Lytechinus pictus: one gene and its partners. The protein of the gene in region 3 binds, or shares a complex with, the protein of the main gene of each other region. Links are inferred from orthologs where the notes say so. Each region holds a gene or a part of one and is shown on either strand. Other genes may lie near its edges.

What was found.
Region 1: syntaxin-18-like (region 3) and vesicle transport through interaction with t-SNAREs homolog 1B-like share a complex: the UniProt entries of both Homo sapiens proteins name them as parts of the SNARE complex. The link is inferred for Lytechinus pictus from reciprocal best matches to the Homo sapiens genes STX18 and VTI1B.
Region 2: syntaxin-18-like (region 3) and BET1-like protein share a complex: the UniProt entries of both Homo sapiens proteins name them as parts of the SNARE complex. The link is inferred for Lytechinus pictus from reciprocal best matches to the Homo sapiens genes STX18 and BET1L.
Region 4: syntaxin-18-like (region 3) and vesicle transport protein SEC20-like share a complex: the UniProt entries of both Homo sapiens proteins name them as parts of the SNARE complex. The link is inferred for Lytechinus pictus from reciprocal best matches to the Homo sapiens genes STX18 and BNIP1.

Annotation. Positions count from the first base shown.
Region 1 is NC_087251.1:45,500,727-45,508,063, forward strand, and holds the start of vesicle transport through interaction with t-SNAREs homolog 1B-like, read right to left. Parts: upstream 3,010-7,337; coding exon 2,910-3,009; intron 1-2,909. Other genes in the region: mucin-2-like, read left to right, coding at 3,304-5,177, 5,455-5,821, 6,587-6,827. UniProt on the Homo sapiens protein: V-SNARE that mediates vesicle transport pathways through interactions with t-SNAREs on the target membrane. These interactions are proposed to mediate aspects of the specificity of vesicle trafficking and to promote fusion of the lipid bilayers.
Region 2 is NC_087250.1:19,732,951-19,740,461, forward strand, and holds the start of BET1-like protein, read left to right. Parts: upstream 1-4,494; 5' UTR 4,495-4,584; coding exon 4,585-4,618; intron 4,619-6,223; coding exon 6,224-6,330; intron 6,331-7,295; coding exon 7,296-7,352; intron 7,353-7,511. UniProt on the Homo sapiens protein: Vesicle SNARE required for targeting and fusion of retrograde transport vesicles with the Golgi complex. Required for the integrity of the Golgi complex.
Region 3 is NC_087256.1:16,138,636-16,145,897, reverse strand, and holds the start of syntaxin-18-like, read right to left. Parts: upstream 3,021-7,262; 5' UTR 2,975-3,020; coding exon 2,819-2,974; intron 1-2,818. UniProt on the Homo sapiens protein: Syntaxin that may be involved in targeting and fusion of Golgi-derived retrograde transport vesicles with the ER.
Region 4 is NC_087256.1:1,387,508-1,394,712, reverse strand, and holds the start of vesicle transport protein SEC20-like, read right to left. Parts: upstream 3,003-7,205; 5' UTR 2,977-3,002; coding exon 2,896-2,976; intron 1-2,895. Other genes in the region: ectonucleoside triphosphate diphosphohydrolase 4-like, read left to right, coding at 3,370-3,377. UniProt on the Homo sapiens protein: As part of a SNARE complex may be involved in endoplasmic reticulum membranes fusion and be required for the maintenance of endoplasmic reticulum organization. Also plays a role in apoptosis.

The DNA of each region.
Region 1 (7,337 bases), on a different chromosome or scaffold from region 3:
TCATGTGTTTGGATTTTTAAAAGAATGTTGTAATATAGGGAAAAATTTGGATCTAAAAAATGAAACAAAATATTTTTTTTCATGCAACAAAAGTTGTTGTTTTCACACTTAATTTCTGTTTAGGCACAAATGATTTTTAAATCATGATAAAGCTGAAGATCTAAGCTTTAATATGATATAATTTTTATAAGAAGATGTGTTTTAGATGGGTCAGCAGCCAGCTTTTCATAGGCCAAGTACATTTTGCAGCTCAAAAACAAGAATACTGCGCTCTGATTGGTCATAGACCACACACCCACGCAAATTCCAATGTTCCCCACACTGGGCCTCTGCAAGGTCACACTCACCATGTGGTAATCTCTTCAAATTACCCGCGCCTGTTTGTTTTGAAAACAGTATTCAGCCAATCAGAACTCTGGATTTTATGTTACTCAGAAATTTCAGAAATCTCGTCTTACATCTTGATGGAAATAACTGGCTGCTGACCCATCTAAAAGATGCCACATATCAAGAGTGACATTGTAAGAAAGTATAGAGTTTGAGCTTTCTGATGATATAAATAATGTTGGTGCCTAAAACACAAAATGTTGCACAATTTGCAAGTGAAAACAGAGGAAGAAAATTATGTTTGATGCATCTTTTCAGGTAAAAAATTCACTTATTTATCAAAATATTTCATTCAAAAGAAATGACCAATATAAAAGGGTAACATTTACTCTTGCCCATGGTACAAAAATAATCAATATTACTCAAGGAGAAAGTGGTTAAATTCTTTGAGATAGAAAGTCTCACAATTCACGAGATTTTGCAGGGACATGAATTCAGCCACGAGAGGACTTGGATAAATCTTGCTCATTTGCTCATTAACACAGGGGCTTGCGGACTGACTGTTAGAGTCTAGATTAATGTCCATCTTTATCAATTAATGAAACTCTGTCAATGTTTGTTGATGACACAGCATCCTACTTCAATTTGGCATCTATGTTTTTGCCTCTGCTTAACAGGTATTACAGAGAACAGTCAAACTGTCAACATATTCAAATCACATTTGGAAAAGGTCCCTGAACATGTACAATCCAGATGAAAATTTTCTATGTCCATGCATGCTCTACCCTAGACCAAAAGCTTCGGTCTCTGTTATTGTTCAGCTGAACTCCGTTGGCTTCACTCACCAAATACAGAGACTGAAGTTCTAGCGCGATCTGTACAGGGGACTCAATGGCCATATGTTTATGTACTTAAGATCGGATAAAACGGGGAAGTGAATTTGCGCGACAGCCGAGGTAAGTCACTGTTTTTGTTCCTTTTAAGTTGATTTTTCTCTGTTTTTTGGCATTTAATGCCAGGAGGGAATATTAATTTGCATTTTGGTCGCATTAATTTTCAAAATTTTTATTCATTAAAGACAAAAATTGAAGAGCCCCTACGGGGGGATTTTGCATTGCAAGTCCCCTAATGGTGGCTGCACGATAGCGAGCCGTCTGTGTACGAGGAGAAATTTAAAAAATAAAAAAATGTTAAAAAACTCCTCAAAACAGACGGCTGCCAGCTGTCTAGCTCTACCCATGCCAATCTGAAATCTGAACAAATACCCCAAATGCTCCTACATTGGTTTTGCAAATAGTGACATACAGTAAGACTAAGAGAGAAAAGCAAAAATTTAGGTAGAAAAAGCTCAACAGCATAAAGTATGAAGAGTATAAAAAGAAAGAAAAATCTCCCCTCCGGCCCTTCACATACGTTAAGAGTCTAGACTAATGTCCATCTTTATTAATTAATGAAACTCTGTCAATGTTTGTTGATGACACAACATCCTACTTCAATTTGGCATCTATGTTCTGCCTCTGCTTAATTAACAGGTATTACAGAGAAACAGCCTAGTAAAAAATACAAGAATGAATAACGAAACTAAAAAATTAACTTGAACATAGAACAGGTATGGTGGTGTGACCTTAATTTGCGCGTTACCTAATTTTGCGCACGGTCGAATATCTCAATATCTAATTAATATCTTGAAAAACTGATATCTCCAAAAGAAAAAAGCGACCCAAATTACATTAACATATTAGAGTCTCCTCAGTATTGTAATTTTCTTGAAGGTAAGGTCTCAATTTGTGAAAATATTGGCAAAACATTGTCAAATTTTGTTACCTTTTGCGTCTGCTCCGAGAAAATCTGACCTTCTCGATAAGTTACAAGAAATCGCCAGTTTGTGAGCAAAAGTCTCCAAAATAAGGAAGTAAAATGTGATACCAACCTAATCTATCGCATTTTAACCTCCATCTGATACAATTATTTTACCTTTGTCTGCTTGATTTCTTTTCTAAAGCTTTGCAAAATGATCCTGATCCTGCGCAAATTAAGGTCACACTTTTTATGAAACTTTTCAGCCGAGCGCACTAGTCGATCGCCATGGAATTTTTAGATCTACCAGCAAAACCCTTGACCTACTTCAAGTGAATTTTGACTTTGGGATATTGGCTTGTTTAGTTTTTATGATTTTGATTAATTTTGGGTGAACTGTGAGATATTTTTGATTGAAAATCAACTTCAGGATCACTTCTGAAATGTGCGCAAATTATGGTCACCCCATTACAGGTTCTTTGAGAGAAAGCATTAATATTAATTTAGAAATCCAACTCCTTAATGAATTGGTTTACATCATCATGATCATGCAAAGCTGAAATAAAATTTCAACTTCAAGTTCAACTTAAGTGGACGTCGATCAATACAATTCTTAAGTTTAAAGTTAGATTAGTCTAACGTTAGATAGACTTCAGTCACCAGTGTCTGTTACAAACAATGCTAACTTCTAACTCACAAAAAAGACAGTCATTCAAAATCATTCATTTCACATTTTCAGTCAATCAAAATTCAAATGAATGTGGATGGGTGTGTGTGTGACTTACCACCAGATGAATTCGGAATTCTTGCTTCAAGTTTGTACTTGACTGTGTCGCAGAGAGTTCTATAGTCATCTTCAATCCTTTCAAATCGCTCCGATGACATTTTGGACGTTTTATTTAACACAGATCCAGAAGAATATGATCCTTTCTCCTCAGTCCGACCAAGTGTAACTCTCCGACTCCCGATCCGTAACTTTTTACAACGTTAATGAATACAACACAATCAGGTGACCTCAATCAAGTGCCTAGACTATTACCAGTCGTTTTATACTATTCTATTTCAGACGCTACGGTACTTCTTGGTACAATAACTTCTTAATTAACTGAGAACGACTGCGCAGGGTCTCCTTTATATATATATCTCGCAGGGTTTACTTTTGTTGAGGGCAGCTTTGACATGGCGGACGCGGAGGATGCAATTATTGGAGAAATAACCCATTCTGATCCCGATTCCGACACACAGGATAATGTAAAACAGCAAGGCTTTATCGGTAAAAGCTCTCCAGGAACAAAGGAAGGAAAAACACCCGATCTTTTGTCCGAGGCTCTCTCAAAGATGGATGAATCTGGACAGGAAGATGAAATAAATTTCTCTGCCGCGGCAGGAGAGACAGACGCAAACACCGATGGAGCCGCGGGTAGCGGCTTGTTAGAAGAAGATGATCATGATGATAAACAAGTTTCTGAAACTGTCATTCCTGAAGCCGAACCAGGAGATGGATTCCCCGTCGTTGGAGATCAGAATCAAATGTTGATTGCTGACAGCACGTCATCTAATGACAATGGGCTGATTGATGGATCAATTGAATCACAAGCTGATTGTTTGACTGGCCAAATTGATTCTGAATCTTCCAAAATTGACACCGAATCTTCTGCTCTTTCTGGGGATCATGATTCAGCCATGTCTTCATCATCGAATAATGTCTTATCAGATATTGCAGCAAGTTCTTTACTTGGGTCCATTGCAACCATGATCGATTCAGGCAGCGATTGTTCTCTCACCGAAAACTCAAAAAATAAAGATGCATTAAACATCCTGGAAACTGCTTCTGCATCAGCTGTAGGAACCACTCCCACTTCTGTAGTAGCTGCACCTGCGGCCAATCCAATATCTTTGAATTTGGCAAGATCAGCTCAAAATACATCATTACTTGTGAATGGAAATAGTTTGTTGACAGGTTCTGCTTCTAGTAATATTGGCCTTGGAACATCTCTGCTGAATACCCCTGGCCTCATTCAAGCCATCTCACAGCAACAGACGGCTCCAATCACAAGCGTTCCAACTCTGAGAGTAGCACCTTCAACCCCTTCACCGGTAACAATCACTGTTCGAACCCCTCCAGGGACAGGGGCTCTCAGCCAAACGCTTATATCGAATATTGTGAATACCCCAGAAGTGCAGGCCCTCTTGGCAAAGAATCCTGGTCAACCAATCACCATTGTTCGCGTTCCAGATGCTCCAGCCACTGTGACCACCCAGTCATCAAAACCAACTCCAGCCCCAGCTCCTCCACCTGCTTCATCTTCAACACCAGCTAAGGCTCCAGCTCTTATTAAAGTTCCAGTTTCAACCACGACTCCAGTTTCTGCTCCCATCTTGTCCACAAGTCAGAAACAGGGAAGCACTATTCCGATGATGAAAGTAGTAACTAATGCAACTAACAAGCAGCAAACACCCGTCAGAACTTTCCCACCCGGTACCATCCTGTCCAACAGGCTCCCCAGTAATAGCACTCCAACAACCACAAAAACAACTTTTTCACCCACTTCAACATCGGTCAAATCCTCTCCGAGTCCTAAGCCAGCCATAGTCTTGGGAGTAAAGAAAAAAGTTGGTCGAGGTGGTGGAAAAGCAGCGGCCAAGGGAATGGCTCCAGCAGTGCCGTCCTCGCAGGACTTGCATCTCATGAGACAGAAGAGACCGGCCAACTGCAAGACTCGATCTGGACGAGTGTCCAGGCCTCCACTGTATAGAATCAAGGAGTACAAAACCATGTCCAATGAAGAGATGGGAGACCAGCCAGGTTCCTCTGATGGAGAATACTCGGATTATGATGATGGTGAAAATGCAACCTCGACACTTAGCTTCTATGATCAGAAGAGGAGGTATAAATGCCAGAACTGTGAGAAGCGGTACATTGGAAGAGGCGGACTGGCCAGACACTACAGAGACAACCAGACACATGGAGATCCTGATGCCGTGTTTGCAAAGACGGAAGATGAAGACCCACAGATGGAGATGGAGACTGATGAGAAACAAAGTGACAAAGAGTAGGAGTCTTTTTTTTTTTAAATAGTCTCTGTACATTGTACAACATAACTTGTTTTAAAGTTTAAATCATCAGTTCTAGGAAAAGAGAGGAGGGGGGGGTTATTATTTGAATTTGTGAAATTTTTCTTGATTTCACCTTTCAAATTTTTTATTCAAAAAGCCTTTTATTTTTTCAACTTTTACCATCATATAATTCTCAAAGCAAGAGTTCAGTTGAGAAAAAATAATGAAAACAAAGGTGTATTTTTAATTCGTTTTATATTTATTTTCTTGTAGAACAAAGGAGGAGACACCAAACGAGGCAGCTGAAATCCCGAGTGAGGCAGCCGAGACAAACGAGGCAGCTGAATCCCCGAGTGAGGCAGCCGAGAAACCTAATGGGAACCAATCTCCCAGTCCCAAGCCCGAAGATGATAAGCCAAGTTCTTCAGAAGAGACATCCCAAGAAAACAAACAAGCAGAACCAGAACCAGAACGGCCGAAACCAGCTATAATTACCTACCACTATCCTTATAAACCAAGGGGGCGGGGTAGAGGAAGACCCCCAGGGTCGGGTCGTAAGGTCGTTGATCAGAGTGGCGATGCATCAGTGATAACCTCAAACAGCAAAGATGTTCCAAAGGCAGAAGCATCAACTTCAAAGGTGACTGGAAATTATACTACAGGGGATTTTTTTTTAATACGGTACCATTTTAATACAGGATGTTGAATTAACTTACTTTAATTTCCGTAAGGTGTGATGATGGTATCAAAATAGGGCTTAAAGTATTTTAAGATTTTCTATGAAATGCAAGTAATATGATTGTTCAATCTGTTTTTGAAAGTTTATTCTGCTTTTTGTTACTAATTGATTAATTACAATAAAGTCTTGAAATATTTGTTGCTTTGTCTCGTAAGTTTTCAATAACAACTGATTAAGAAATTATGTGTGATATTCAAATGCCCTGTAGATCTACATTAAATGTTAGCAAAAAGTTCAATCGGAACAAAATCATAATACATCTGGATGTCTGTTTAGCTTTAGCACTTTGCAAACACTATCCCTTTCATCATTAAAGATGAAATGAGAATCCTGATTGAATGATAAAGTTAAAGGTACTGCTTAATGTTACTGAAGATGCCATTTGATTGGTCAATGTCATTTTTTTCATTGAATCGTAACATCATCTACTAAACATTAGTTTTATAAAAATAGGCCCAGAAATAAATGTTCTGCGGATCTGGTATAAGCATCATTTACTCTACTCATTATAATCCTTTAATGATTCTGTTGTAAAAGAACTGATTGATAGATTTGACCTTTCATCTCATAATCAGGAAATGAACTTCTTCTTTCTCAAAATCTCATATGGTATTCACTGAACAATGCATCAATCTTATGAATATTCATGATGACTTCATATTACAGTTCTTTGACCCCAAGACCCCTCTTGACGATGATCTGATCAAGGTCACGCTGCCTATGCTGTCTAAGGTCATCACTCCCTGGGAGTACATAGTCGCCAGAGCCCAGCAGACCACAACCAAAGATGCAATCTTTCCCACCATCCTGAAAGCACTCAAAGAAATGCATCTTGAAGCCAGGAAGATGGCTGCGTCGTGTCTGGAGCGTGTTCCAGTTTTTCCTGTCAAGGATCATTCTGTGAAAGGTCAATACACATTCTTTCTTCATTTCCCCCCTTTTTTTAATTCTTGGGTCGTTATATTAAGATGTTTAGTTGCACATGACAAATCAAACAAGTAGATTATGTCAAGCTGAACATGTCTTAATTTACTGTTAATGTACCTTATTATATAAAGTATTTTATTATATGAAGTATTTTTTGCCAATTGTATATTAAATAATCATAAAAACTGAACATAGTACATGTTTGTTGATTGTATGGAGGACTTTTGGGGCCTACATTCAGGCTCTGGAATTTTCCATTTAGTATGTGACTATCTTTCATTCTAAAGAAGAACCCATAGAAACTTTGTAAACTGGAGTTAAAGATTTAGTGAGGTCACTGAAAAACACATACACTGTAGATATATATTCAGTCCATTTGTATTATATCGGAATGAAAATAAATACATTTATCAACTCTTTGTAGGTTCATAGAGTCTGTGGGATTATCTTTAACTAGTTAGTCCATTTGAATTTAATATAGGCTCAATCC
Region 2 (7,511 bases), on a different chromosome or scaffold from region 3:
TTTTTAAATTTTATCTGATTTTGATAAAATTTTCACTATTTTGCATGGTAAAAATTACTTTATTTTAGATTATGTTGAGCCCGTATCATATACAAGTACAACTTTAAAGATAAATTACCAGTTGTAGTAACAATCTTAAAATGAGTTCAAACAGAACCCAATAGAATTACCAGCAAAATATAAAAGACATGTGCCATAATTAATTATAGCTCGGGAAGAAAATGTGTAATTGCTGAGAAATGAGCAAAATAAGCATGTAATTCTATCCAATGTCAGGTATTTTTCAAATCAATCATAATACACTGTCCTGTCCCACATGTTCTTTTCTGTGTTAGTGATCATCAAAATAATTAATTTTAAGTTCAAAATTAGTGATTTTACAAAAATACAAGCTTACATTAATGTACCAGATCTAGAGATTATGTACAATATTTTGACAATTTCTCATGAAATAATTGTTTGCTGCAACTGCTGTCTTTTTAATACGTTTAAGTGATAGTGTAATACAACCACAAACTTTTCTTAAGAATTAATGTACATGTATGATTCTTTCACCCAAATTTACATGCATTGATACTGTTGACTACTTGCCAAAAGTTCCTGCTAAAAGCCTTTTTTAACGATGTACATGCTTTTATAGACGACCTGCCAAAACATTGTATTGTATTATATTCAAGGTCCAACCAAAAAGAGATGAATAAAATGTTTGAAGGAAATTGAAATTAACTTTAAAAATGATAGAGCTCTGTCAATGCAGTATTATTACAGGGTTCCCACAGTCATGGAAAATCCTGGAAAAAAATTGGTCATGGAAAGTCAGGGATATGTGAAAAGTCATGGAATTGCATTTACCTCTTGGCTATGACAGCTTTCTAGTTTTTTATGTCTCACAACTCTCATACTCTGTGATTATACTCTACTATTATAATTGGTGTTCATGATCATAACATGTCTGATTTTGTAAACTGTGCCAGAAAGGAATTAAGTCATGGAAAGCAGCAATTTAGTCATGGAGAGGTCATGGAATTCTGTTTTCAAATTTCTGTGGGAACCATGAATAGGTTTGTGCACTTGACACAGTGTGCACTACAGATGAACTTTGTAATGCCATGATATAAACCAGTACAATATCTTAAAGGAAAATAAAAACCAAAATATAATACCACATGATACCATTGATAAATACAGGACAATGAAAATGAATCCACTCATATACCCCCAATCCGATGTCCCAGTATGGAGTACCACCTTTTCAAAGTTGGCATCTTCTGGTACAAAGTCTATGGATGGGGATTATTCCGTCAGCGACGAACTACATCTCTAAACGTTTGGGCATTAAATATTCTATTTCATCGATAATAAATCAAATGTACAGATAAAACTCATAAAATATTAATTAAAATTTGTTTAATATTATATGATAGGTTCAAATTACGACTTGATGAGTTTTAATGATAAAAATTACACCCTAATCTACGATTTACAAATTGGCAGCGGAAATTGGGGTGTAAATCTTATCATTAAAACTCATCAAATTGTATTTTGAACCTACCATATATTAAACAAATTTTAACTAATATTTTTATGAGTTTTATCTGTACATTTGATTTGTTATTGATAAAATAGAATATATAATGCCTAAACGTTTAGAGATGTAGTTCGTCGCTGATGTAATAATTTCCTAACTAACCCCGCGAAAATGGCGACCTCCATCCAGAAACTTCGAACCATACTGTAAGAGGCCAACTTTGAAAAGGTGGTACTCCGTAATTGGATTAGGGTATGAGTGGATTCATGTTGATTGTCCTGTATTTATCAATAATATCATGTGATATTATGTTTTGGGTGTTATTTTCCTTTAATTCAGATATTACATGCCAGGGTATTGTCCTAGTTTTCATTTTCTCCAAATACATATTATCATCTCTCGTCTATTTCTACTTGCCCTTCAGCCTTGAAGTAAACTTGGGATAATTATGCATTTTGTTATACGCAATTTTGAGTACAGTGCACTTTGCCGCAGCTACTTATATGATATTACCTATTGTAGACACATCCTTATGTTTTGTTCATTTTCTTAAAAACGATTAAGAGTTTAATCATTTTTGTCTTTAAGCATAAAACAAAGAGTAAATCAGTCCATTCTGTATGTGTGACCTGCAAAAAAACTACAATGGTCGTTAATTTGGTTTGCTGAAAAGCCAGATAACCTTTGAGGTAACTTTTTAAAGTATTTAGAAGAAATGTATCTGTTTTAAAAGTATTTATATGCACTGTAACTAATTTCTTTGATAGTTACTATTATGTTACACTGTTTGTACAGTAAAGCAGCTGTTACACAATTTTTGTCAATATCAAATCTAAACCAGTATTGTAAATTGATGACTCTATGAGCTAAATACCAGTACTTTCTATATCACTTGTAAAATCATTTGTTGTCTGTTCATTGAAGGTGTTGTATTTTCTTAATCTTATAAAAGTACATAGGGTCATGAACACATTCTACTGCTACCAAAATCATACCCATGATCTGTGATGTATCTAACCAGTTACCACACACATTGCAACACACCAGTTGCAACATACATTATCATGCATCAGTTATCACACATCTAGTTACCACACACATTTTGGGTAATGACTCTGATGCATGGTATTATGTGTATTATGTACAATATGTGTGGTAACTGGTTAGTGTTTACCACACACCATTTACCACACGAATTACCTCATATTTTACCACACACCAGTTACCACATGCATTACCACACACCAGTTACGTAACTGGTGTGTGGTAGTGTATGTGGTAACGTGTGTGGTAAATCGTGTGTAGTAATGCATGTGGTAACCGGTGTGTGGTAAAATGTGACGTAATTTGTGTGGTAAGGCATGTGGTAAAATATGAGGTAATTTGTGTGTGGTAACCCGTGTGGTAACCGGTGTGTGGTAAAATGTGAGGTAATTTGTGTGGTAAGGCGTGTGGTAAAATATGAGGTAATTCGTGTGGTAAATGATGTGTGGTAACGCGTGTGGTAACTGGTGTGCGGTAAAATGTGAGGTAATTTGTGTGGTAAATGGTGTGTGGTAATGCATGTCGTAACTGGTGTGTGGTAAATGGTGTGGTAAATGTCGTGTGATAATCTATGTGGTAAATGGTATGTGGTAAAAATTGTTACCATAAATTAATCCCTTGTGTGGTAAATGTTACCATATATTAATCCATTCATGTGGTATTCCTGTGGTAATGTTGTGTGGTAAATGTTCCAATTTACCACAGGACAATACCACACGACATTACCACACATTACCACACAATACCACAGGACATAAAGACATAGCATTACCACACAACAATATATGTGGTAATCGTGTGGTACAGTCCTATGGTAATTATATGGTATTACCACAGGACATTTTTGTAAGGGGTCCCTGTTATATAGGCCCTATATAATCGATTAAAAATCTTGATCACCACCAGCATGACTATGGTCCAACCATGGTCCCAGCTAGCAAGCTGACGTTGGTTGGGCCAATGCGGGGTGCCGATGTCGGCCACATTCGGCGAATATCGGATTCCATAGACCAATGAAAATTAGAATACTACGTACGTACGTAATAATACTGCGTACGTACGTAATAATACTGCGTACGTACGTAATAATTATCACGTACGTACGTAATAATACTGCGTACGTACGTGATAATACTGCGTACGTACGTAATAATTATCACGTACGTACGCAATAATACTGCGTACGTACGTAATAATTATCACGTACGTACGTAATAATACTACGTACGTACGTGATAATTTTTTTTTTTTGGTTGTCAAAAATGTCCGGTTTGAGGCTTCGTAGTTCTCGAATCAAAGTTAAAGGAAAATGAAACCCTTGAAACCAGCTGAATCCATATCAAAGAGAAAAATCAAAGAAACACATTGTTGAAAGTTTGAGGAAGATTGAATGAACAATAAGAAAGTTATGAGCATTTGAATATTGAGATCACTAATGCCATGTAGATCCTCCCATTGGCAATGCGACCAAGATCTGTGATGTCACACACGTACAACTCCCTCATTACTTTAGTACATATTTCACTTATATTCTCACTTTTATAGAGTCTGTCACAAGGTGAGGTGTTCTCTTTATGAGAGGACAAGTACAGAGGTTTCACAACATTATATCATTGATGAATCGTTTGTCATATGATTAGAATGAGCAAAAAGAGATGTTTTGGGGTATATTTTCAGTGTCCAAAAGGGGAGAGTTGTTCATCAGTGACATCTAGATCTTGGTCGCATTGCCAATGGGAGGATCTACATGGCATTAGTGATCTCAATATTCAAATGCTCATAACTTTCTTATTATTCATTCAATCTTCCTCAAACCTTCAACAATGTGTTTCTTTGATTTATCTCTTTGATATGGATTCAGCTGATTTCAAGGGTTTCATTCTCCTTTAACTTTTGTGAGAAAGAAACTGGGCATTGAATCAACGTTGCGGTCGGTGCTAATCTACGTGGAATTGAAAACGTAAACACAAATATCGGCAGCTTGAAATTAACTCACTATTTTCCCTGAAATAATGTCTGACTGGGACTGGGGATCGAAGAAAACAGGTAAATATTTTGAAATTACTGGACTGATTTATTCAACTCTATTTACTTTATTGCTTAACAAATAAGTTAATGGAAATCTTTCCTTTATTTTCTTGAAACTCTTCAAACAGTACTGCAACGTGTCCCACACGTACAATTTTGTGTTTGTAAACTCTTCATAATCAACACCAGTTTTCTCACTCGTTGACAGATCGATTCCTCATTCCAACTCTTTTCTATATCATATGTAACAAATTATAGAATAAAGTGCTCAAATATAGGACACTTAAGCATGATTGGACCAAAACAAAAATATAGGCCTAATCATTGAAATATTGAATCAAATGAAATTAATCATGTCTATTTGTGGTTGAAAACTTTAGTAGCCTAGTTTTATTTTTTTGTAAAAATCAAATTTTGAAAAAATGTGGTAGGCCTAAATGGAAATTATTCACTTATACTACCAGAAGCTTTTTTTTGGCCAAATACAAGAAGTGTAAAGTTGTGCGCCGCGATCAATTTTGGCAATTTAAACTGCGCTCTAGGCCCTAAAGACTAAACCCCAAAATAATCGCTTGATTGTTGAGAAAACATTTTTTATTTCAGCTGCGCAAATGCCGATTTTGAATTATTTCTATTAATAATTTTGATGTAGAAATCTGTAAATGATAATTATTTACTTTCCATATGGACCTCTTTCGGCTCTAAATATCGGACGTCTTCGCTTAGCTCCGGGTGGCTTCGTTCTGAAATGCGAGCGTGGGCGTGTGAACAGCACGCTTTCCAGTGCAATCGGACGAGATGTCCGATATTTGGGAGGGTGTTGAATTTCCCGCCGTGTGGAAACCCGCGATGGCCATTGCAGATCTTTTTGCGATAGATTGAATATGTGTCATATTGGTGGCGATATTTCCTGCGAAAATCACTTCCCCCTTACAAGATTTTTTTTGGTCATTGATCTTTTGGAGTTAAAAATTAGTGAGGGTCATAAGAATCTTAACCCCTGGAATAGCTTTTCTGAGCAGCAACCTGGATCTATTGTGTGTGCAGTTCAACAGTACATGTATCACATGTATGCAAGTCCCCCGCCAGTGTGGATCCCTGTAGTTGAAGTCTTTTTCGTCCAATATTTGGACACTACTCATTACTCAAGTCATTTACCGGCCAAATCATGGTTTTTGGAACCACTCGTTGATTTGTGCATGTGCACGTGTGTACAAAGTAAATGGAGGTGGAAAATAGGGAACCATGCGTTGTGACTGAACTATAAAGCGCTGCTGTACGAAGTAAACGGTGGTTCCCAATTTCACGATAATGACCATTTACCCAGTCTGTCCAAATCAGGAAGAAGTAGATTGAATTTGCAATTCAATATTGGGCCTGAGGCTTTTTAAGCTAATCACTCAGTCTTGGATTTAACCCACTTATTTATTGAACAAGGTTATGATATAACAAGGTTAAACTGTTATGATAAAACCTTGTTCTCTGTTGGGACTGTTAGGACTCATCCGTTTTTGTCCGCATGATTTTAGTCGCCAACTTCAGTCCATTTCAAACTTGTAAAAGATTTTACCCGTCCCTATTGACCTGTGTGTGAATTAATTCCTTGTTATTTTTTTTTAATAGGTGGACAAAACAACCACGGTGGTAAAATGAGTACGGAGGACATGCTTGAAGCCGAAAATGACCGAATGACACTCGGTCTAGCAGCTAAGGTCTCAACATTGAAATCTGTGAGTAGTCTATGGGTTCATAATCACTTAGGTCTGAGTGGGCGCGTCGTGGTCTAGTGGTTCTGACTCTCGCCTTTCAAACAGAGGGTTGTGGGTTCGAATCCTAGCCATGGCGTGTTTTCCTTCAGCAAGAAATTTATCCACATTGTGCTGTGCTCGACCCAGGTGAGGTAAATGGGTATCAGCAGCAAGTAATTCCTCAAAAAGCTGTGCGCACCAGAATCGGTAGACCAGTTTAACCGGGGTAATATAGGAGCGCCTTGAGCACCTAGCAAGGTGGATACGTGCGCTATACAAATCCTATATTATTATTGTTATCAGATAATCTTATAACATATGGGCTGAATGCATTTGGTCCAATATCAAATTGAATCGCTATTTGTCTTACAGTACACTATCTAATACCATTTAGTCTAATCTAATTCTTGTGTAGTTAAATGCACAGAGGGCCCAATTTCCACTTGACATTAAGGTCGTTGGTCACATAGGTCGTTGGATGCCAGAAAAGTCCTTTTCTTTAATATTTTTTTATGAATCATTTGATCAATCAGCTTTGGCAGACTGGCAGTGATACACTCAACTACAACTATGGAAAGCCAGCAGCATCAACAACTAAAATGCATGTTTGTTCAAAATATTTTCCAGATATGACGTATTCATCTTCACGCTTTCATATGTTTTTTGGCAATTCATCATGCTCTACGTATACAAAAGGCCAATGTTTTGAATTTATCAGCTTATTTGGCACTTTACCTTTCAAAACTGTAAGAATAATATCGTAAATAGTTTTCTTTACCAGTCATGCATGGATACAGAACACGGTATACATAAAAAAGGATGCAATCAATGTAAACAAAATCTTGACATTTTTTGCTTTTCATAATTTAACACCAACTTCAACCATGGTTTTAGTTAAACCAGACTTCAGAATAATGACCTTTACCTTTTTTCTTGTTTTCTTTCAGCTTGCCAAGGATATGGAGAATGACACAAATGACCAAAATGTTTATCTTGATGGAATGGTAAGACAAGAGATATGTTTGATCTGGAAGGGGGGGGTAGAGTTAGGGACAGTCACCAAAGACACATCCATGACCAGGGGGGTGTTTCACAAAGTATGACTAAAGTCGCACTTAAATGCTGACGCGTGCATGATATGCAACGCGCGATCTTATTGATAG
Region 3 (7,262 bases):
ACAGACATTAACAATTGCCAGGTATCTAGGAGAGTAACCTTGTGTTAGTAATGATTATACACTCCAATCCAAGTCCAAATGCCTCCTGGCTGTTACCAGGCCTAAATTATGCTGCAGCATGATAAATGATACTTGATAGGACAGCTAATCTACATGTACAGTGGATCATCATGACGGGTGTCGAATTTGTTTCCTCCCTTTTTTTCATTAAAAAGAATTGGTCGCATGCTTAGAATCATGGATTTATTGCACATGTAATTAAAGATGATAAAGTAAAGAATCAAAGTAAATGGAAATTTTTGTGCTTTTCTAATTCTTTTTTCTATCGCTTTTTACCATCTTCTAAGTTTTACTGCTTCAAAATTTTGCCGCACTCTAGGAAGTAGATGTTCACAGCCAATATGGGCGACTCTCACTCTCTCCAATATAGGAGACTATCTCCCACAAAAAATAATTATATTTTACTTACAACCAATATAAAAATTTTATGTAGGCCTAAATGATAATTATTTGTTAAACAATAATTTTGTCTATAGATTGTTCTACAAAACGGCGCTTCATAACGTAGCTCATCGTAGCTACGTCATAACGAAGCGAGTCAAGGGTCAAGCCTACTATTGTATTACGCAGCATGGGAAGATTTTGCAATGGCCACCACAGATCGGTCTGGAAAGAAACCTCTCATTTTTCAAGTTTATAATTTGATACTTTTTACACATTTATATGCATAAGGTGTATAAAATCTTCAAAATCCGATAAATTTCATATTTGGTAAAAATTGGCAGGGCTAAATAGTAATTCTAGAGGGAAATCCCTGTTTAATCATCAAGTTCAACTATCTGGTCCGTGTCAAGGCTCCGTGATGAAAATACAATGACAAAAATATGAAATAAAATCATCACAGAGTCCTCTAGGCTAGCTAGGTGCCCCTGTCGAATAAATGAAGGCACTCGGAAGCTTATTGTTGACTCATTTCTGTGCACATTCAATGCGGTCCTGGTTTTCTGATTATGTCACTTTTAAGATATGATCCTAAAATACCATTTGCAAAAGTTTATGAACTCAGAACAAAACCACAGATTTTTCAGCGACCCCGCTTATCAAATCTGAGCTAAGCCTAAGATAAGGCTATGCTGTCGCGTGCTCTGGAATCATGACGCAGATTCCGCAGCTTTAAAAGGGTAAAATATTACTTTTTTAAAGGAAATTTTGAGTTTAAATTAGGACTTTTCGATGGTAAGCGATTATGCCTGTGCATAACAATGCAATGTTTTTGGTGTGTGTTTTGGTGATTGTGAAATAAGTTGACAATTTGTCACGTCGGTGCAGGAACGCCCTTAGCACCACACTTCCAACACCCTTACACAATGCCCGTATGCGTGCAGCTAAGGGCGTTCCTGCAACGACACAACAAAAAACGATCATCGATTGTCAAGTGACATGTCATAATTCAGCACCTCAAATTTCAGGTGCAAACTATCATTTTCCAGCAAACGTAAACGTATCTAAAATTGGATACAAAAATCTCTGATATTGCCTAGAGGTAGGCACGGCCATGGCGCACTAGCATGCTCTCGCGGATGTGCACAATTTTGTTACGATTTTTAACAAAAATGGCCGATCGAAACGGGGGTAGAAGGAGAGAACTTTTCGTTTTTTTAGGTTCCAGTCTGTGCCCAGATGTCAGGAAACTGCCACTCGTTAGACCTTCATCCATATAATCGTGGTAATTGTATACTTTCTGTTTTCACAATTCATTTGGAGAAATATTTAGACCATAAATCACCCTAGTCCGGTGACTATGGTCAAATACACGGTAAGCTCCTGGGCTCCCGCCCGCGCAGCGGGCGGGAGCTCCCTGGGTTACATTTCCCCCTCTGTGATTGTACCCCTGTACAGTGCATATGGCGGCATCGTAACCAGCGGAATTTTAGCTAGATTTTGATACCAAATTTAGCTTCAAAATCCAACGTAATCCGCTCAAAATAAGCTCAAATCTGATAGCTCATTTTATGTTTCACCACATTTTTATTGCATTTCATGAATTTTGGGTTCAAATCGGTCCAAATTTATGGATGTTTTTTTAAACTTGAATTGATGAAGTTTCGATGTGTGGCCATATTAGACCTGCGCAGGGCATCGCCCTATCTAACCCAGGGAGGGACTGAAGTTAGCAACCAAATCATGCGAACATGTGGCGAACAAACTGCCAGCATGCTGCAGGCGAATCTTTTGGTTGATAACTTCAGTCCATATCAACATTACGGCGCACGGCGAATCCAAGCGATCCGCGAAGAGGATTCGAACAACGACATCGAGATCAAAGCTGAAATACAGCCGTTCCCGATATTTGGAAGAGGTGGGTATATTGACCTCGAAATGTGACTGAGAGACTTGTCATGACATTTGGGAACAAGTATTGGTGATGAGGTATGCTGGTAATCGGCCGGCGGCCGGTGCGAAACTGCATTTAGCGCCCAGCCATATTTGTGAAAAATAAGCAAAACTTTAGTTTAAAAAATGTCATGACTTTTTTATTTTACATCCGATTTTATTAAAGCATTCTGCTAATTTGATTTTTCTGTATTTATTCAAATCAACAATTTTCTGGGGTGGACTTGACCTTTAAATACTGGTGTTAGAAGTTGGAGATAATCTCTCCCATATTGGCTGTGCCTGCCTGTGCAGTGTCTGTGCGCCTCTAGTGCACATATGCCGGAGCTCCGCTGAGCTCCCCCGCCGCGGGCCCCCGAGTCGGCTGAGCTCCCGGCCCGGCTCGCTATCGCCTCTGCTCTGGAACCGATTAAAAAATACTTACCACTTCTTTTGCCTTTAAAGCAAAATCATCTTTCATGGGTTTTGCATGACTCAAGAGGGATGACTTAGAAGTATCTTTGGTAACTCCAAGAGCTTTATTTCTTGTCCGAACTGTTTTAATTGATGCTTTGAAGAGTGGGGTTCTGTCTGCTGCCATATTGACAAATTTTTACTTTTTAGCTTCACACGTCATTCTAAGAGGTGTCGTTGAAGTAAAAATTAAAAAATAAAACCAAGCTACGTACATTCGCACGCTAAATCTCGTGTAAAGATCATTGCAAAAGAAGAGTAAAAGGAAATTATTATAAAACACATAAGAAATAATTTAGAAAACAAAAGAAAGTGAAAGAGATAGAGTAGAATTAAAGAAACAATAAGTCAAGACAAAGCTACACAAGTTTTGGTCTGAGTGACATTATGTTTACGCAGCGGCACATGGGAATAGTGCCCTTTCATTATACCTTGGTCACATTTGTTCTACGGCGGCCGTACGGCGAGTCGAAAACAGCCGTTTTATCAATTTTGATTCAAACCACCTATATGTAGTTGGACAAAAAATGTTAAAACGGCTGTTTTCGACTCGCCGTACGGCCGCCGTAGAACAAATGTGACCATGGCATTACCACTATACCAGTACAGCACAAATAGCAGATCAGTATCGGAATTCATCCAAGCTAGGAAGACAACAAGATTGACCTTGAAACTTGACTCCAAAACAACTGTATTTTTCCAGCTGATGCAGTATTAAGGTATAAAGGGATAAAGAAAACAAGGAAAACATCTCCAAAATTATGAACGTTAAATGTAACCGTCCCTAAAATTTTCTCTTCTTATTTATATAAAAATAATCATTATGCAATCCAAAAGAAAAATAAAAGGGGGAAGAGAATAGGACAATAGATTATGTTCAACTAACATCTATTTTATTCTGTGAGGACGCCGCCGCCTTCCTTTTCCTGGCACATCATTTCAGACAACTAGGCGATCGGTGTCGACGTCTTTTGGGGAACACTGTTGCCTTTATAACACCATTCGTCAGCGTGTGCGTGTGTAAAAACTATTTTTGTGTTTTTACAGCATTTTATCTTTTATATCATGCAGATTAATATTTCTAGGACCGATCTTGAACGTCTCCAAGGAAAGAATAACGAGGGATCACAATCTCGATTTCAATTTGTAAATTCTCCCATGTAGCTTAGATTCAGGGGAGCGTTTCATCGACATTTGCATCCGACAAGTTGTCAGGTCTGACAACTTTCCTTGATTATGATTGGCTGAAAGGCACTGTTATCATAGTAACTGTCGGTTAAAATGGGATTTGTCAGAGAAAACGTCTGACATGCCCTTTTATGAAACGCTCCCCGGGTGTATATAGGCATACCATAATAAACGTCCATAAATAACACTTTCTCACGTTTTTTTATTGCTTGTACTTTACATTTCGGGAGGATTAAAAATAAACAAATTCATTGGGTGTCTAATATAAGAACATTTCTCTGTTCGTGTCATCTATTAGGGCATCACATTTAGACCTATTAGATTTCATTGTTCGAGCATTATTATCTCTCGTTGGAAAAAAAAAACCAATGGAATTGTGTTTATTTGTGGGTAATACACACACAAAAAGCTCCCGAATCATTTTCTTCTATCATACTCGTTCCCATACACATCCATTTCACACACAACAAAAAAAAAACTTGAAAATCCTATTGTTAATCCGACTAATTGTCAAAATCAAAAGTTATTGCATTTTTCTGGAAGCCTAACGAATTGTGACTTAATTTTACTTGTCTAAAATTTGGGTAAAATTGCATAATCATTAATGTGAACTATATAGTGGATTATCATCTCACATTCTAATCTTTACATGCAATATTCATCCGTTGATCAAGATCAGTGAAAATTTCATTATATCTAATATATATTATATACGCCTTTTGGATTCTTATCTAACGAGCTTTGTGATTGGATTATAGAAATCTTAATGCAAAATTATTACTGAATTTTGAGCTCATTGCTCGGGAAATGGCTTAAAACAAAAATGGAACAGATACAATTCATCATGATTTAAATGATAGACAAGGAAAATAGACAATGAATACGATAGTTTGATTGTTGTTTCTTTATTCACATTTAAGTTAAAATATAAATCGAAATAAATAAAGTAAGACAAATTCTTGTGATATCATATTATACACTAGTTACGAATGTTCTGCCAGCTTAAAATTATTTGAAACTGAAGAGTAAACAAGATAACAATAATGGAACACTGATTGCTGCCCACTCTCACGAATAGTGCCATGATTGTAACGGTTGTCTTAATCGTTGAGTAATCGTAGTGATCTTATCAGATCGTATCAGATCAGTTGTAGCGATCGTCTTGATCGTAGATAGCTTCATATTTTTTTAAACAATTTTTTTATTTTAATATATTCATAATCAAACAAATCATACATGTATCACAAAACATTACAAAACGAAATGAATATTGCTAAAAATTAACAGTTGATCACACTTACTGAAAATTACGTAATAACATAAGACTAATTATAAAACATTGTTTATTACATGTTTGATACATAATACATTGTTTAATACATGTATTTTGAATGGTTTAAACATTTTCGCGATCGGTTACGAAAAGCCAGTCGTGGCGTTCGAAAAGGATCGCACGTATGGCAAGCCATTTTAGCATTTAATCATACGTCTTGATAATGATCAAGAATTCAATTTCTTGATATCAAGAATAACCATTGCCTAACTACACAAAACCATTTCTTGATATCAAGAATTCGATTTCTTGATATCAAGAAATATGATTAAATGTTAAAACGGCTTGCCATACGCACGACAGTGAGAACGAGACAGTGGAAAGGAGGGAGAGAAAGGGAGGGAGAGAGACATTGCACACCATACAAGACAGTAGAGCACAAAATACATTTGAAGTTGGGTTAGGTATTAGAACTGAATGGCCCATCGAGAGCAACATGATGGAGGGGTAATTCTAAGATGAGAGGGAAGAGAGACTAATAGAGGAAGAGAGAGAGGGGGAGGGGGAGGGGAGGGAAGGGAGTTATGAGGGTACAGAATAAAGAAAAGGTAAAACTATGAGGAATTGAAAATAACAAATTACAAATTTCAAGTATACACTGTACGTGCATTAATGATGAATGATGTAAAACAGAAAATGGATACAATAGTTCCATCATTTGTATCTTTATTCATAATAGTAACATCAACCTTGGAAGTAGATCGAAATATATTGTGAATGATTGATCAATAATTGAAGACAGAGCTCATTATAGGCAAGTTATAAAAAGAGCGGTTACAGTGATGACAATCAAAGCGCTGGTCAAAATACCTCATCATTAGCAAATGAGTTTTAAAGTATTGTTCTCATCACCACTGCATTTATGCATTGTTGAACATAAACCTTGATCACAATAAGGTAAAACGAATATAAGATACGAAGATGATTAATTTTTGGATTACTGCTATTTACAACAACATACAAATTACAACGTATTCAACTTTTATCATGCAGCTCTGTATAATTAGCGAAAACGACAAATTTCTGTCTGCTACTATAACTGAAATATTGATAAATATCAGCTAGACTCTTAGTCTGATATATACATGTTCCATGGATGCAAATTCACAACTCTGTCTACATGTCCTATATAGTCTGATAGTATATTTCAAGGGGTTAAATAGAGCTGGTGTAAACCCAAGCGGTGAACCTATTTGGGGGCGGGGTGACCTATTATTTCATCCCACTCCCCAACCTAAATGGTGACAAGGCTTTTGATCCGTCGATAGTTACTCGGGGCTTCCTCTAAGATGGGGTTTGGGTAGCAGTGGGGTTCTATGTTAATATAAGGTTAGGTTTAGGATGAAGCATAATCATGATAATGTTAAACCCATGGTTAAAATGGGTAATTCCTTCAGTGTCTGGAATTAACAGCGGAGTAATAAAATTTCGGCGGAGCAAATGTCATAGAACCACTTGAATAGTATGAGGGTTAATTAGAGGGGGGAGTTAAAAAAAAAAGAAAATGAGGTGAAAAACAATTAAAAACTCAGTCTTACGCTCGCAATAACATGACCAGAAAATCGACGGGCGTCCAAAAGTTGGAGATACTAGTTCAAGGATATGCCGCCATAATTATTCAGCAGTGCCGGACATGCTTGAAGGGGCACACATTAAAGGAAACCAAAAAGACAAGGAGAAACTCTATCTTATCAGAAAGAATTAGATGAGAGGAGCAATCTAACACTTGTTTTATCAAAATCGGTTATAGAATAAGCGAGTTATGGAGTTTGAAAACTCCTGTTGTACTTTCTATGTCGATCCTCAAATTGGCAAACGTGCTTCCAAATGGCTGATTTTGAGGACAACTCTCCATTTGTCATATAGGAAAATATAATTCACACCACATATGTCA
Region 4 (7,205 bases), about 15 Mb from region 3:
GGCGACATAAACATTGTGGCAAGTTTTCCCCGTCTTTTCATATTTTTCTCATTTTTTAAATGAATTCTTGTTCAAAAATGATATCAATATCGTAGAAATGTCGGAAATGAAGTTGTATCCCATTTACATGATTTAGGGCTAGATCTTTTAGAAGGAAAGTAGAAATCTAAGGGCAAAAGTTTCATTTTTTTCGCGGTACACGCACATGAATGAGACGCAATCCCTGACTCAGTGGAGAGTAAGCATACGTTAGTACATTGTTTTTACTCTCTAGGAGCCTCCTGGCAAGCTAGGCCTACCTAGCCAGGAGGCTCCTGGAGATTAATGTCATATCACTGACGTGCTTAATCTCCACGGAGCCAGGGACGGGATGCCATTGCTCTACGCGCACCAAGTATTTTGGAGACAATAATGTTGTTCCAAAATACTTGTTTCTTTAGGCTTTTGAGCCCAAACTTATGGAAATGGGCTACAATATCATTTGAATCCTGTTGGCGCAAAATAGTTATATCTTTAACTAATATTACACATATATAATGAATCAAAATATTAAAAGTAGAGGAGCGTTTACTCAGTCTGTTATTGTAGCCACCTTGCCGTCTTTGTTATCGTAGCCTAGCTACAAGAAGCGTATAGAGGGCGAAAATATCATGAGCAGTGCTAACTTAGATTTAAAAAATACTTGTAAATTGTATTGGCCGATAAATATCATGTATCTTTAAGATAAGATTCATGTTTACATTTGCTGCAAAAGGATTACCTTGGCGGCAAATAAAAATATGACAAGCAGATTCCTCATGAAAAATTACCCCTTTTCACCGTCTACTTTAAAAAATTCAGTCTACTGTTGTTTTGATGAGGATTTTTGTTGTCATCCACACACAAAACAAATTGGCTTCTGACCTCAGACTCAGGGAGACAAAATTTTGGGTGGAAAAATTACACGTTTTGGTGGTGTTTCGTTTGTTCTTTTGAAAAGCAAGTCTGCAATATCATATTGAATATGGAAGATTGTCTTTCATATTGGAGAGAGTCTCCAATATTGGCCGTGCGCCAGCTCTAGTACTAAAGTACTGTAGGCCTACTGGTTGTCGTGAACTATTCACCTGTCCTTGTCCAGCATCATCGACCGGACAGGCCCAATTAGAAGCTTCAAAATCTCAACAAACTGCGGTTCTCCACCGATCTCCACACCTCGGAGGAAGGGAATCTAAGTTACAAGTATGGCAATGTATCCTATTGCCGGACAACTTTATTTCAGTGCTTTAAAAATGACAACTAGAGGAAATACAATCAAGAAAAATTTGCACAAAAATGCTATTCCAAATATTATGAAAATTATGCATATGATGAAATTATTTTATATTTACCAACTGTTTTCTTTGCATCGCACTTGCCGCATACCCCTCCACGAAAAACAATTATTTATGCGACAAATTACATCATGATTCCGGACGTGTGTACGTAGGACCAAGCCTGCGTAGGATGGGTAAAGATATTCTGGAAAGAATTCCATATGCACCCCCACCAAAAATAACAAAAGATTGTTGAGACTTCCGGTTCGTTCACTTCAGATTTTTCTATCATTTTTTTTACTGCTGCTTACCTTAGTAGGGACTCGAACTCACCTCGTTTTATCTGCAGTCAAGACCTCTTCCCGCTATGCTGGCGAGAAGTGCTGATACCGGAAGGGGTATTTTAATGATTATCAGCCAATAGTTCAACTAGTCTTGACTCACAGACCCTTTACTGACTAAATAAACCAATGATGTCTATGGACAATTACACACACTAGATCCTGCTCGAAATTTGACAGAATAAACCAAAAATTTGGTATGTATTTCCACTCCCCCATCATATATGTTCTATATTAGGGCTAGATATATTATTCTGAACCTTCTCCATGTTTTTATTTTCAATTTTACTTTTTTAGTGAGGGGTGCATATGGAACTCTTGTCAGTATTCTTGATTAGAATGATGTAAGAAAGAATTTGTGTGATTTTTTCTTCATATATCATATCATGAGTAAATTCTTAGTTTTTGTTTGCTTTTTTTATATCGAATCTGAGCAGATGTTGGTAATAAATTTGCGTTTGCTAACTAATTTGATTTTTTTTGTTCTTTTTAACTGCATGGCACTTTCCGATATTATGCTTGTTCGTATTGTGACACTCATCAAGTTCTATCGATGCACATCATGCACTGTCGATCGTCGGTAAACCTCGCACACGGGTACCTTGAGAACTAGCTAGCCATCGAAGATCACCCACAATACACCACACCACAATTCGATCGAAGGAGCGGACAAGATTGAAATTCAGCAAATCATGCCCATATTTCCACCAGAAAATATATCAATTGTTAATGCAAAACTTTGACATATGATATTTTAAGCATTTTCTGTCATTTAATTTAAAAGATAATATTTGATTTTTTCGCCATTAATGTTTTTGGCTTTTTTGCAATCTTGTTCTCAATCTAACTTACTTATATTATAACTTAATTCTAACATTAACAAATCAAAATCAAATGTCAATTGCTCTGTGAAATTGAACTGCGTAAATCTTGCGGGACGAAATTGTTTTCGTACACAGTAATATGCGCGTCCAGAATCATAATAGTGCAGTGTCCGGTAATACAATACCTGACTCTACTACAAGACTGTAACACTAACATACATAGACACGCATAATTAACGTGAGTAGTGACATTGTCAATTCTTCGGAGAGTTACTAGCGCAGAGCTGGGTATGTGGGACTGTTTAAAAAACAGTCGCACAGAATCGCATAGCAATATTATAAACTTAATTGTACGATGTAGAAAATTAGGGATAAAATATAATTTTCATCAAATAATCGTAGAAATCAACGATTGATTTTAGTACGTGAACTTACCTGAGCATATGAATTGATCTGTAAGTCATGTTTGACGATTTCCTGAACGCAAGTTCTAATTCTCACAGCGTCTAAAGCCATCTTGACAAATTTGTCAATACAAATTGGCAGCATTGAAATCGTAAGATCTGAAAGTGAAATAAGAAATAAAAATCACCTTTAAAATAAAAAAACCCAATTTAGTATTAAAAAAATACAAAATTTGCATATTTATATTTTTTACTATTCTACAATGGAATAAAAAAAGTAACAATCAGTAAATGAAAAAAAAATATTGGCATTGATTGCCAAATTTCTTGTAAAGTACACGTATGATGTTAACACGTCGGCGACCTCATTAATCGGTTCAGCTCAGCTCAGGCAGCTGCTAGCAAGAACGAAGAAAATTATGCGGAATTTCTTAGGGATAGATCGAGGTGTTTTGTGTCAAATGATAAATCATCTGCTAAATGTTGGTTGAAGTTATCTGTTTAAATGGCTCGGTACGTATAGTAATAGAGAAATGAATGATCTTGAGATGAGAGTAGTAACGTTAGACTGAGTCTGAGACTGAGATTCTATCGGCTGCGAGCGCGAGCTGAGGCTTTTGCACTTACTTACGGCCGCTGCGCGGCTGGGGACCGGGGCCGGGGCGGGCTAACTCCAGCCCGAGTCCAGGAGCTCCATCGCATTGATTTAGCCATGGCCTAGCTAGGCCTTAGCCAGGCGGCTTCTTGAGAGTTAAAATCATTTACTAACGTAGGCTTACTCTAAATGAAGCCAGGGAGTCCTTCCATAGGCGGCGGAAGCGTGGGGGACGTGTCCCCCCTAAATTTTAGGTGGGGGGACGGACCCCCCCTAAAATAATTTTTTGTTGATACGGTAGGCCCTAGGCTAGGCCTAACCTTTTTTTTTTTTTTTTTTTTTTTTTTGCTTGTCAATTTTTTTTCCTAAGTCCCCCTAAAATTTTGCTTCCGCCGCCAATGAGTCCTTCCTATTCATCTGCGTGTACCGCAAAAAACCCTGAAACTTTCGCCCCCGAGATTTCTACTTTCCTTCTAAAACATCTAGCCATAAATCATGTATAAAACTTCATTTCCGACATTTCTACGCTCTCGTTATTTTTAAACAAGAATTCATCAACGAAATGAGAAAAATATTGTGAAAAGACGGAAGAGACTTGCCCGATGTTTACGCCGCCATCTTGTTTCTTATTGTACTTCCCCAACGTTACGCGACGCTCGCCCCCATTTGCTCAAATAAATAGAATGTAACCATCGGGCACACTCATCTTGACCATTTTTCCTTCTGTAATCTAGCACTTGAACTTTAGTTAATTCAAGTAACTCTGGGGAACGGGGATGGATGATTTAATTCCTGAGGAGCAAGCACTGCTTGTGAATAAGAATTTTTTGGAAATTGTGATGTGTGAAGCATTTCAAGACAAGACCAAAAAAGAGAGATTACATTGTAAAAGCAAGATGAGGTGTGGGAGATGTGCATACAGGATGACAGCAAAGGATGATTGTGAAGCATGCATGAAGTGATGGTGAAAGCCAAGAAGCAGATGAGAATAAGTTTTAAGGGTGATTGGTCCATGGGTGCAAAGAAATGGATTACTGAGCATTAGCATACAAGTGGTGTTAAAATGAGAAATAGCAGTATAGACATTAGTGAGAAAGTTGACATTAAATGCTTATTTCTGGACAAGTTTTATATCTAATACAAATTTAAATATTCAAAGCCCCCAATTCTATTAAAATGTTATATTGTGCAATATGTCTTCAATCCCCTCCCTTTAAAAAAATTGGGGGATCACCTCATTTAATCTAATTAAAAATCACTCAGGCTACATGAAATCTTTTGAATTAACAAACATTGTATTCCATGTTCTACCTTGACAAATTACATTTTGTGCGTTATTTATCAAAATCCCTCAATGAAGATGACTGGATTTCTCTTCAACGACACACCCGTGGACTGTCTAAGAAGATTTTGTAGGATGCTTGGCATAACCCTGTAAGTGAGAGCTCTGATCGGATCGGATGATCGGGGGCACATACTTATCCCTATGATCGGTATCGGTCGAAAATATCGGCAGCAAATATCGGATTTTGCTATTTGTTTATCAAGCACAATAAACAGACCCATATTGTCCTTAGCTGACCTGATTGTCCTTAGCTGACCCCATGCATTCCAAGCACTACTCACATATCGTATTCATCCCTTGGGAGTCTGGGTCTCACTGTCAAGCGAGGCAGTGATTTACGATAGTTCTATGCCGACATAACCCAGCTGGTTGGTATCACTACCAGCGTTAGAATGGATCCCCGCCCTAACAGCACTTAAATGCCGTGCACTTATAATGTTGTTAATACGTCATCGCAAGCCAACGCCTGGCTGTCCACTAGAGAGAGGGAGAGGGAGGGGGAGAGGGAGCATCGGAGCTCATGTAATAAATACGCCAACGCAGACACTTTCCCCAATCCGATCCGCACAGAGAGTTAGAGAGAAGGTGAGAGAGAAGGGGACGGAGGGAGTTATGAAAAAAAAGAGAGTAGAGAGTAAACCTCGTGGAATGATGCCAACTTTCATCTGAGGGTATTTAAAATTTGATCAGTTCTGACGGAAAATGTAAGAAAGGTCTGATTTTTTTTGGTATGAAGTCGTTGTTTCTTGTTGGTTGTTTCGTTGTTGCTTTTTTTTGTTAATCATGAAAATAGGAATTAAATGTTGAAGTAACAGCCTCGGTGTCATATAATCATCAATGAAAATACCATATAGAGAATATTTCAGAGATAATTGGTAATTTACCATCACTCAGAAACGTTCTCGAATTGTTTTTCTCCTCTCTTCCACTCTGCTTCATTCAAGTTATCTTGAATCAACTAAGTTCTCTCGTTCTCTTTTAACAACTCATTCATGAAGTATTATTTGAGACTGACACACAGGTGGAGCATTTCACTTGAAAAAAATTCATTCCTTGCCCACACCATGTCCCCACCCCCACTTGTGGCACTGCCCACGATGCTACACATGTATTTCAAAAAAAATATTTTGCAAAATATTTCATTTGAAATACCTTTCAAAATTACAAATTTTTATCATTTGAACCTACATGTATAACTGGGTCTATTTTTTTAGACTAACCAAGAAAGTACTGATGAAGGCGGCGCGTGTTGGAATGTCTTTTGATTGTGTGAGGGGGATATAAAAAAGGTTGCATTGTTTGAAATTTGAAAGGAATTCTCCGGCTCACACCCCCTACCTTTCTCTCTCTCTCTCTCTCCCTCATGGGGGAGGGGTCAATTTATTTCTGAAGTCACGACCTTTCCTGATAAGGGAACCACGTGGCTTTTTCTGTTTCCCCGAAGGTTTCATTGGCTTTCGAAGCCGAAGGTCCAATCAGCTCAAGTGAGATGGTTGTGTGTTTACTTTCTGTTTTGAGCACGCAGACAATGACTTATTTTGTGTATCGAGGGCAAGATCGAGTGGGATTAACATTTTCGGAGCTCTTTCGTGTTGTTGTGTAACTGTGAATGTGATACAATCATTGCTAATTTTTCAAAAATTACCTCGGTAGCATCATTTTTAAACCTGTATCAAGTATAAAAAAACTGTTGTCATCATTGTTTTCTTGTCATTTTGTTATTATTACTTGGGTATCTGAGCTATAATCCCAACGTCATAATCGGGATCTGCCGAACATTCACTTTAGTGTAAATTTTGCTGATTGATTGGCGGGCACGCCATTTAAACCATTCGACCAATCAATGTGTACTCCCATGCAGGCCTAAAAGTTATATTAACACAAGCGAAAATAAAAGGCAAGAGAAAGCAAATGACCGAAATTAACATTGGAGTTTTCACGCTTTGCGAGATTGGTTGCTTCTTTTCCCAACTTTGCTAACAGATCACATGTGTGGATGTTTGTGTGTGAAAATGTGGGATGATGGAAAAAATCAGGGGAGAAAAAACTCTTCATTCTGACCCTCTGACATGTGGCACCGTAAGTTGGAGCTAGCTCGTAAATTTTGGCGAAGCCCTGTCCTCCCTGCTTGGAATTGACCAATGAGAATTGTTCCCTCTAATTTCCATTCACGGTACTCGATGCTGATTGGATTTATCATCTGACAAGATCTCCTTCATACAGTATGTATCAAGTTGTTTACAAAACCACTGGAGCGTAATGCCCACCAGTCGATTAGGGGGATTTTCTCAAGTGGATGTTTCCAAAATATCCAAGTTGTCAATGAAGGAGATGTGGGTAGGAAAGGGTGTTCATATTTGTTAGGGACGCACCATTAGAGATATCCAGGGAAGGGGGCTGG